Nothobranchius furzeri: one gene and its partner. The protein of the gene in region 1 binds, or shares a complex with, the protein of each later gene. Links are inferred from orthologs where the notes say so. Each region holds a gene or a part of one and is shown on either strand. Other genes may lie near its edges.

Region 1 (5,211 bases):
GTGAAACTGCAATTTTTGTCACTTCCGTGTTGGCCTCATTTTCAGACCCGTATTGTGGGGGCTTGGTCCCGACGCAGACGCAGAAGTATAAATTAGGCTTTATCCAAGAAAGAAAAGTGAACGAAGGCCACGGAAGGGTGGTGTTTCTGTTAGCCAATCAGAGGACAGACATTTGTATATCATGAAAATTAAGGAGTAAGACTCCTCTGATAAACTTCTCCTTCCTGAAACAGGAGCGCCAAGGCTTTTCTCCCACAAGGCGTTCGTTCAAGCCAGAGACCACAGCGAGTTTATTAAAAACCTTTTAAACATTAAAATCATCTCCGACGTCTGCTAGAGGGTAAAGCTCGTTCACTCCTCTCGTCTGAAGTGAGCTTTTGTGTTTGAACAGCACTCCGGCCATGCTGACTCCAGTGTCTGGCTCCTCCTCTTCCTCTGTCACGTCCACCGATAAGTACGCTGTGTTCAAGCAGCTGTCTGAAGATCAGCCCGCAGAGCCGACGCCCCCCACATCAGGTGAATCAAACTCCCACGGCGCTCCAATCTGGGGCCGTACGTCACAGCCGTGGCCCGTGACTCATGTTAAAACGGTTCGTGACTGTTGTACAACTTTCTGTTCAGATGTTGGTGACAAGTACAGCGTGTTCAGACAGCTGGAGCAACCCGCTGACAGGAAACCTGTTGGTAAGGAACACACCTTCTCCTCCTCGCTGTAATCTCTGTCATCATCTCAAACGTTTCTAGTAAATTCAGCCATAGATTCTGAGTGTTTCACCTCTTTGGGGAATAAAACTATTGATCTGAAGTTTTAGAGTGGATGTTTGTGAGCCCGGAGTGGTGATCTGAGTGTATTTCCCGTCCGTGTTTCATTAGAACAGATTCCGATGGGGGCTGCTCTTACATCTCCAGTAAGTCGTGCTTTGCAGTGACCTTTCTTTGGCATTGCCAGGCTCCATCCTCTCTAATGAGCCTATTAGTTATCTCTCTTCCACCGCCGGTGTGAACAGACCGCATCTATCACTCCTCAGTGGTTTTTACCCGACTCCTGTCTCGTTTCTTGGTTTTGCAACACAACGAAGTGAAAGTTTGTTCTGACTTGCCCAAAAATGTTCATCTGGTTGATTTTGGCTTTTTGAAGATCAAGAATAAAACTGAGGATGATCATTTTTGCTGTTTGGGTTTCTTACTTGTCTGCTGCGTGGTCGTGTTGTTAGAAGCATGTCTTCTGCTCTCTCTGAGGCCACGGTCCATAAAGGCGTTTCTGTGACTGGCTTCCTTTCTTAGAGGATAACAAACAACATTGTTTGCTGTTCTGTTGTTTGGTTTTTTATGTCCAACTCATCTACTATCTTTTGGTTTCCAGGGGAAGGATTTGCAGATTTTAAGTCCATCAACACCGACGACGGCTTCACAGACTTTAAAACTGCCGACAGCGTCTCTCCACTAGACCCCCCAGATCCCACCAAGATCTTTCAGCCTGCCTTCCCCTCAGCTTTCCCAAACTCTCAGAATGTACAGCAGCCTGCAGCGTCGGCATCTCAGTCCAAAAACCCTCTCAACATGGCCGACCTGGACCTTTTCTCCTCGGTGGCTCCCCCTGCTCCTGCGTCCACCGAGACCAAGCCCGGTACATTCCCTTCTGCATCCGTGCCTCCTTCTTTAGTGCTCCTGCCCGGCGGAGCCAAGCCTCCAGCGGGAGGCACGGATGATTTTGGTGACTTTGCCCTCTTTGGCCCCTCCTCTGACACGGCTCAGGCTTCAGCAGCAGGAGGAGCTGCAGCAGCGCCTCAGGATGACTTTGCAGACTTCATGGCGTTTGGCAGTTCTGGTGGAGAGCCGAAAGGTGAGAGCAGCACGGGGGTCCGAGGGGAGACCTCCGCGAAGCAGTCTCAGCAGGGCGCCGACAGGTACGACGTGTTCAAACAGCTGTCTCTGGAAGGAGGCCTTTCCTACGACGACACAAAGGAGAGCGGCGGCGGATCCTTCTCGTCGCTCAAGAGCGACACGGATGACTTTGCCGACTTTCAGTCGTCGAAGTTCTGCACGGCGCTCGGTGCGTCGGAAAAGACTCTAGTGGACAAAGTGGCTGCGTTCAAACACGGCAAGGAAGACTCCGCCTCCGTCAAGTCCCTCGACCTTCCGTCCATCGGCGGCAGCAGCGTTGGGAAGGACGACTCGGAGGACGCACTCTCAGTTCAGCTGGACATGAAGCTGTCGGACATGGGCGGAGACCTAAAGCATGTGATGTCAGACAGCTCTCTGGATTTGCCGGGTCTCTCGGCACACCAGCCCCCCGCTACAGGTGAGGAACTAGTGCGTTTGCTCTGGTGAGGCTCCGTTCAGCCGCACACGGGTTTTACTGCAGCCGGCCAGCCCCCCCCCCAGCGGAGCCACTTACAGTACAAACCGCCAAGCTAAAGGTCAAAGGGCAAGGAATGGGTCCCTGTCCAATGGAATATGACCAAATCCAGATGAAAACACTAAAACATATCAGATTAGAAGCATCATTTTCATCTTACATCCCATCAGTCATTCATTAATTCATTCATTCATTCGTTTATTTATTTATATTTTCTCCTCTTTTTAATGACATCCCATTCGTTCATATTGTGGTGACGGATCTGTTTATGTAGAAATAACGAGCGTTGGGTTCTGAGGCGTTAGTCGTGGTTTACAGCTGCGTTTGGCTCCAATAAGCTGCTGGTGTGTTGTTGGCGGCGCTGCAGCAGACGCAGCGTAAGGGCGCGTAGTCCACGCGTGGAGCAGGAGGCCCGGCTGGACTCCGAGGAGCGCGGGAGTTGGTCAGCTGTGAGGATCCCCGTTTATTCAGATCACACCTTTTTTGCACACGCGTCACACATTTCCTGAAGCGTCGCCTCAAAGGTTGATTCAGCGGCTGTTTGCTCGGAGGCAGAAAATATCACAAAAGGTTGTTGTTGTTGATGAGAGATTCTGCATGCAACACTAAATGTTTAACGGTTGCTGGTGTCTGCAGCATCATGTCAGATCCGAGTGCACGTGTCAGAATTACCGCATCAACTCTGCTGTTGATTATTTACTTACGAGATTCTAGCTGGGCCGTCGGATTTTTCATCTTCTTAGAGTCAAATTTTACTTAAAGCAACACTTTGAAACTTTTTCATGTTTTAAAATAATTTTCTTGAGCCAGAATGTGTTAAAATGACCCTTTACAGGGTTAAAGAAAGGCCACCCAGCCCCTCGCCCCCTGTGGCCAGAATATTCCGCTTGCAACTTCAGACTGGCGGCCGCTCTATTGGGACTTAGAAAAAATGGAGCTGACATACCTGGTGCTGCAGTCTGCTTCCAGCACGTTTCCTTCACGTTTTAGATCATGAAAACAGCTGATTTGTCTAATTTAGTGACGATCACTCTTGTAGACACTAATGAAGGCTGGCCGATGTTTCAGCTGTTAGATGAATGTGCTATGGAGATGAACGCACAGCTTTCAGTTCCACAAATGGACACTAGAGGGTGGTATAAGCATGCCAAAACTGCCTAGTTCTCTTTTAAGACTTAGTTAAGGTTCAGTTATTAACTAATTCGCTGCCAGAGTTTCTCACCGTTTTTACTGTTTTTTTTAAGAGTCACAGAACGTTTCGCGCTAGGATGATGCATCGACATATAAATATTGGACAATGGGTTTCCATAGGCTCCAGTAACACATTTTTGAAGAAAAATGGGAGGTGGCCACCACGGCCATTTTGACCGTGTCACAGGTTCCGTCAAGCCCAGACAATTCCACAAAAGGGAAGAGAGGTGGAGCTGAGGGTGGGGCTGTAAGGCTGGGATCAACTGACGACACCCGGTTGAACTAGCTACAAGCTAACCTGAAGCTAACCCAAAGCTAACGCGGAGGTGGGAGCTAAGCTAATGGAGGTAGCAACCTAGCTACAACCGGAGTTAACTGTGCACAACACCAGAGCTTCTGAGTCAGAGATACGCCGGGCTGACCGCTGGGTAAAACCGGGTGGAACACAGAGGTCTCCCGAGAGCTCCACAAGCCGATAGTCGGAACCCAGCTCCACCAACATGTTATATTTCAACCCATTTTCTAAAGTGCAGCATTATGTTAAATGCACTGGGTTTTACCCTATTACATTTAAATTTCATGGTTAAACAGTACATGTTAAAATCTAAGCTCAGCTCGGCAGTGACCTAAAATACATAAATATAATTTTACTTACCGAAAAATGAAGTGGAGACTCCTTGGACGCTCTATTAGTGCAATTAATGCCACAGCAAGTCATTTTGTCCAACAATTGCACAAATAATATCCCAAAAATAATACACAAACACAGAGACTGAAAATCCCAGAACAGTTTCCAGGCCAGACTGAGGCTCAACTGAGGCCTTTCCACAGAGCTAGCTCTGTGGTCACGTGGGTCTGATGCTCATTAATTATACAGAATTTTAGGCTTTTAATACACTTAAACAGAAGAGTGAGAAAACAATCCACCCCCCTCAGAGTTGTCATGAGTGTAAACTAGATCATTTAAACCAAAAACATGTTTTGGTACCAGGCTGTAAACATGTTAATTTCTGCTGTGAAATTGGTATTTTTAACATGGAAGTCAATGAGGATTTGCTCGCTTCTGACACCAGCCCCTAGTGGATGAGGGTGGAACTGCAATTTATTTCAATTCCGCGTTGGCCTCAATTTTTCACCCACATTCTGGGGGCTTGGGATGATGTCGACGCCAAAACAACCGAAACAAAGAGGAGACTCACCTCTTACATCAGGAAGAATTCGCACATATCGAGCGTTATCTGTTCTTTCAAAATCCGTTGTTGAATTGTGATCGGCAGAAGCTTTTCCGGTTCGCGCCTCACTTTTTTTTTTACATCAGCGGCCCAAAACGATCTCCTAACACATGGATTTTCTGCTTCCTGATCATGTGACGTGTGACGTACGCGGTTGAAGATCGGCTTTAGAGCTGGGGTGTTTGTTCTTACAGTGCGGGGGCTCGTCCGACGCCCACACAGTAAAAACGTGCAAATGACGACTATTCGTCAACGGTAGTGAACAAGTTAATGGTTAATCGACTAATGTCAGTTTAAGATTAGGTAGTCTATGTATCACTAGAGAAAAATCAGATATAAGAAGTCCGTTAAGGTTCCCATTTTTGCAATCAATGGTTAAGAAAAAAAAAGTCATTTTTTCATGCGTACTGTTATTGGCTCTTGTTCTCC
Region 2 (5,903 bases), on another chromosome or scaffold:
CCAAATTCCCTCCTCCTCCAGAGCGAGGTGTTTTCAAACTACAAACCGCACTGTACATTCAGAGGGTTGACTGGGATAGCCCCTCATGGTGCAGCGACATTTGTGTCTTCTCTTTATCAAGGTGCCACCAGTGATAAAGAGATCTTAAAGCAGTCAGGCATTGCGGCCCTCCTGAACCCATCAAAGGCCATCATGGTGGGCAAGGGTTTCCTTGTTGAAGACTGTGTTCCATGCAACGTCCACATACCCACGTTTCTGTCGCAGAGAGCTCAACTGTCAAGGCCAGAGATCAGAAAGACACGGTCCATTGTGAGACTGAGAGTCCATGTTGAGCGTGTGATTCGCAGGGTTAAAGAACACAAACTATTCAGCACCGTGATCCCCTTTTCAATCACAGGCGACATTAACCAACTCTTTGCTGTCGCCTGTCTTTTGGTGAATTATGAAATCTCCTCCTTAGAGATAGGGTGAGGAGCTCGGACATTCGGGAGGGACTCGGAGTAGAGCCGCTGCTCCTCCGCATCGAAAGGAGCCAGTTGAGGTGGTTTGGGCATCTGGTCAGGATGCCTCCTGGACGCCTCCCTGGGGAGGTGTTTCGGGCATGTCCTGCCGGCAGGAGGCCCCCGGGTCGACCCAGGACACGTTGGAGAGGTTACATCTCCAATCTGGTCCGGGAACGCCTTGGGGTCCTGCCGGAGGAGCTGGTGGAGGTGGCCGGGGAGAGGACGGTCTGGAGCTCCCTAGTTGGGATGCTGCCCCCGCGACCCGGAACCGGACAAGCGGAGGAAGACGACGGCGACGGTCCCTTGGTGAAAACCTGGGCAAGCAGTTGCTGAGCTCAATCCAGAATCAGACTGATAACATAATGTGAATGTATATAGTTCTCATTTGTGTAGTGAGTGACCTGCAAAATGTTTTCTCTAACCTCACAAGAATCCCTTCAAGTCATAGCCTGCACTGTAAATATAGGATGTGATGTTAAGGTACAGTGTGATTAATTCATTAAATGAGTTTGTTTAGGTTTTGTAACGCATCTTTTTTTCATTCAGTAAGATAAACGTGGTTTCAGAGATGTTATACCTGCCGACAGTTTCAACTGCATTTATTTCAGTCTTCCTCAGAGCCTCAGCCGACTTCTTGCTGTCGTGTCATTGGCTGGCTGGTAGCGCTGTCAGAGCTCACCACCAGAACAGCCTCCCTCCTGCCAGGAGCACTTGGTGGTGAGTTGTGATGGTGCGCCCAACTGAGGAAAGAGGAAAACGGGATAGACTGAGTGAGAACATGCACTTTGAAGAATAGCTGAGGTGGCCATTTTTTCCGCTTTGGATGACTAACAAACCCTCGTTTGTTTACAACAGACCAAATAACCTGCTAATGATTCCCACTCAGCTACTCAGCTGCATTTGGCTACCAACATCTTTCAAATGCTTTTCACATCAGATGAGATGTTCTGCACACAATCTGCAGTCCGTGTACGTGGCAGTCCGTCGAGATGCTGCACAGATTCCGGTCCACATTCATTCCGCACTTGGTGTAAATGAGGCTTAGGCTGAAGAGCTCAGACATCCACAAGAGTCCGAGTGGAGGCACCAAGATGAGCAGTGTTTCAGGCATGTCCTTCAGAGAGCTGACCCGGGACCCGGGATAGAGTCTACAGGTGAAACTGTAATGGTGCTAAAGTCCATTTATTTTAGTAGTTCAGCTTAGAGACCATCTGAGCGCTCAGGAACCATCTGCAGGTGTTATGGATTCATTAGCTGATTAGAATGTGACACTTTTAACCTAGAACCTTTTCACAGTGTTTTAATTGTCTGAGATATTGTTTGTCACTGCCAACAGTTACAAAAGCTAAACCAAACACAACTGTTTAAAGTACATTTATTAATGCCACCAGTTTATTGAGATTAACAGACCAACATAATCTGTGTGGAGAAACCCTAAACACTCTTGATATGTTCTAGACGTTCTTATAATTTTATTTGACTGTAAAATACAAAAAATAAAAAACACTTGTTTAGATCTAGAGAGTATTACCACGTTTAATCCTGCACAGAAACCACAAACTGATTCAAATTGTGGAATTGGTCCATTTTTCTCTGAGATCATGAGCGTCACCGCCAGGGCTCCACACAGGCTGCTTTTGCAGTTTCTTTGACTTCTGCCACAGACAGCAGGAGAAAGTTGGACTGTTATCGGTACCATGTGGACTGAGTGTGTAACGGGTTGATTCTGGGAGGAATCAGCCTTTTTAGAGAATTTCGATCCCGTGCACGGCTCCGTAAACTACCTGTTTCACCTGGAAAGTTTAGAGACGCAAGCAGGCTGGGAGCGGTGCATGCTGGGAGGATTCGAGGCAGGATAGCAGGAGAAGAGAAGAGGCAGCCGGCTGACTCCACCTTCGCGCCCCGCCGTCCCACCCAGTCCGGCTGGCCGAACCCGACCACCTGTGGACAGCGTTGTTTTGACCCGAGCCATGGACTCTCTTGGCCGGCGTCTCACGGTGAGACCCACTGGTGGTCCGGTCAGACGAAGCTAGCCTAGGGGCTAACGCTGAAGCTAGCTCCGGGTAGGCTTCGTTGCTGAGCTAACAGCTAATGTGCTGCCTTTAGCAGCGGATTTCAACAGAGTTGATCCAGATTGTTTCTTTAAAAGACCATAACCGGCCTGGTTACTGTGGGTCTTAATGTTGGTTAGTTCGTTTTTCTGTCACTCCACAGGCTAATTTAGCTAAGCTAGCAGCTTGTTTTGGTGTCTCGGCCTGTAGCCTAGCCCAGCTGGACCCGAGCTCTGGTGGTCAGAGTTTGTAAACCAAGCCCTACATATCGACTTGTTTCTGTTTTTCATGTAAAAACTCCCTCTGTCAGCCTGATAATCAGTCTGGGTAAGGTTCGGTTAGCCTCCCCGTTAGTGGCTGACAGATGAAGTGTCAGAAACGGTGAGAAGTTGTGACACAGGTGAGCAGGATGTGCTGGCTCACTAACAGCTGCTGTCATTAAACCCCGAATCAGCTCAGACAGGTGACTTTCAGTCCGGACACTGGTCTCGGATCAGTTTCCATCAGAGCACTCTCCTCTTCCTGCTGGGTGACCAGTTATACTGGACTTGCAGGTTCGTGTTCCAGCTCTGTGTACCTGCCTACAGGTGTTCTAGCTCCTCCCAACGCCAGTTTTCTGTTTCAGGTAGATGTTAAAAGGTAACAGTTCCTGAAAAAGCTACTGAGAGCTCCGACTTTTATTCAGTTCTGACACAAAACAAACACCTTATTTACCTGCTGGACTTTGTAAATAAACCAACAAACTTAGTGGATGAAAGTTGTAGAATCAGCTGATGGGTCTCTGACCAGCTCCCTGAGTGAGCATGGTTGTAACTAGGGCCGGGCAATATAGACAAAAACACTGATGAAATAATTTTATATTTATATAGATAATTATTGCTAACCATAATTGCAGCCCTGGTGATTATTTGTCATTAGTTGTGTTACAAGACTTGATTTTTATCCTGCCTCTGCAGATTTAGCAAACAACCCTTGTTTGTTTTTTCTAGACCGTGCCATGCTGGTGAACTACTGGGACTTTTTTTTTGGGGACATTTTCTTCCACCCGTCCTTGTTGTGACATCTTTAAGTCAAAGTTAGGTTTGAGAGGCCAGGTCTTGGTGACAGAGCATGCCTGGGTCGGTGTTTTTGATTGGTTGAGACAAAGTAATGACTCTGGCATTAACCTACCCAATAGGCTGTAGTGAAAAAAGAAAGGAGACTCGTTTATTTATCACACCTCTCATTGAATAGTTGTCCAGCTCTAGTTGTAGCATCTATTCTAACATATATTTACTTCGACTCTGCAAAAAAATAATAGAACAGTTTTAGAAACACCCCAACAAGTTCTGTAGAATGTTTATACCCAAACGTAAAATCTACACTCTCTTCTGAATGTTGCCTCCTGTTGTGTGTAGGTTAGTCATCGCTCAGGTAAAACACACCTGGTAGAAACCAGAGACACCCTAGAGCCCCATCAATCCCTGTTTATCAGTTTTCTCCAGTGAAGCTTCTTCTGTTTGTGTTTAAAATAAAACAAAGATTTAGATCAAAATATGGAACTGAATGCAAAATATGCTGCTATAATGACCCAGAGGACACACACACACACACACACACACAAAGTAAATTATTCTCACAGCTCAAAATACTTTGTTATAGTTGTCTAATCGTCCAATCTGAACTCTGCCTGTTAGCATGTTGCTAACTCTGCAGCTTACTGATGACTTCCTGTCTCTGTTGCAGGTGTAGCCCAGATCGCTCGCTGACCTCCACGGAGTCATGGAGCCGGATGTTATCCGCATTTACTCCTCCTCGCCACCGCCAATGGAGGACGGCGCAGAGGAGGAGGATGAAGAGTTTGGAGACTTTGGGACCTTCTCCAGTGTTCCAAACAGCATCAGCCTCTCTGAGTTTGACACCCCGACGACGTTCGACCAGACACACGCGCTCACCGCCACCTCGCCTCCTGAGCTCCTCAGCAGCAGGGGGGTAGTGGGCTTCAGCCACGGACCTGCTAACGGAACCTGCAGACCTGGTACTGAGCTACCCAAGGCTAACGGTGTGGGACCCATAAACTACCAAGACAATTGTCCCTCAGACAGAACTGAGACTAAGAAACCTGTCTCCTGCTCGCTGGACTTATCTGTGAGCAACATGGAGGACAGTGAGTCCACTGAGTGTAACGGTGGAGACACTGGGGTGCTGACTAATGGGTTTGTGACCTTTGATGTTCAGGAAAGCCTGTCCTCACAGATTTCTGTCCACTCTCTGATAAAAGGACAGTTCACTGAGGACACGAGAAGCGTCCACACCGGCAGCTCGGAGGACGAGTTTGCAGATTTTGCTGCTTTTTCCACCTCTGAAGGACATTTGAGCCAGGTGGTGGATGAGAACAGGGACAATCTCACAGCAGGTGGCTGGCTGCCAAAAGCTGCCGTCCACAATCAGGACAGTATCACAGAGCAGGGATCAGAGGACAGGGACACTAGGGAGACATCAGACGGGTGGATTGCTGACTCACTACAAAGGGACCTGAGACCGGAACGCTCAGAGACTGATTGCACTAATGACTGTCTCGCCTTTAGTATGGTGGACGGATCTAACGAGGCAGCTGGGGGCGCTGTTGATGACCTTTCACCTGACCTGACAGCTGACAGTGAGGTGGGACAGTCAGATGAGAAAAGCTCGGAGACGGAGACATCATTTGGTCGGCCTCTGTCCACCGAAGCCCTGGAGGAATACGGTGACATGAGCACCACGGGATCGGTGCCGTCTCCGCCTCTCCAGGGGGACACAGCCACTCCTGCAGAGGATGATGAGGACTTTGGAGACTTTGGTGATGCTGCCGTCTTTGGAGGACAGGGCTTTGGGGAGGTGCAGCAGGATCAGGGGCAGGACCCTGCTGCTGGACTAGATGTCAGCACAGAGCAGGACGACGACTTCGGAGACTTTAACTCTCCCAAAATCCACAGCATTGGGAATGAGGGTGAGGCGGGGGGTGAAGAGGCAGAATTCCCAGACTTTCCTGCCAGCTCCAGTTTTGGGAATTTCAGTTCGGCTGTAGGAGCAGAGGAGGATTCTGGGTGGAGGGCCTTTGGGGAGCAGCAGGAGCCAGAGGAGGAGTCCTGGGCATCATTCAGCACTGAGTCCAGCCCTGCTCCCCCTCCTGAGAGGAAAGGGGGAGAGGGGCACGAAGAAGGATCTCCTGCAGCTAGCGGACCAGGCCGGACCGACACACAGCTGGTAGGAACCTGGTCAAACTGGGTTGTCTGGGAGGCTCTCCTGGTTTCTAGGGTTCAGGATCAGGTGGGTAAAGCTGGCGGGTGGGATCAGTCCCAGAGCTTCCGGGTCTGGTGCAGACTCCAGC

What was found. The genes of interacting proteins can lie anywhere in the genome.
Region 2: synrg (region 1) and aftpha share a complex: the UniProt entries of both Homo sapiens proteins name them as parts of the aftiphilin/p200/gamma-synergin complex. The link is inferred for Nothobranchius furzeri from reciprocal best matches to the Homo sapiens genes SYNRG and AFTPH.

What each region holds. Positions count from the first base shown.
Region 1 is NC_091753.1:55,100,605-55,105,815, reverse strand, and holds part of synrg (synergin gamma), read left to right. Parts: intron 1-391; coding exon 392-516; intron 517-621; coding exon 622-684; intron 685-1,363; coding exon 1,364-2,302; intron 2,303-5,211. UniProt on the Homo sapiens protein: Plays a role in endocytosis and/or membrane trafficking at the trans-Golgi network (TGN). May act by linking the adapter protein complex AP-1 to other proteins. Component of clathrin-coated vesicles.
Region 2 is NC_091746.1:29,670,391-29,676,293, forward strand, and holds the start of aftpha (aftiphilin a), read left to right. Parts: upstream 1-2,310; 5' UTR 2,311-2,500; exon of another isoform or gene 2,501-2,566; intron 2,567-4,279; 5' UTR 4,280-4,315; coding exon 4,316-5,779; intron 5,780-5,903. Other genes in the region: uncharacterized protein, read left to right, coding at 1-471. UniProt on the Homo sapiens protein: Component of clathrin-coated vesicles.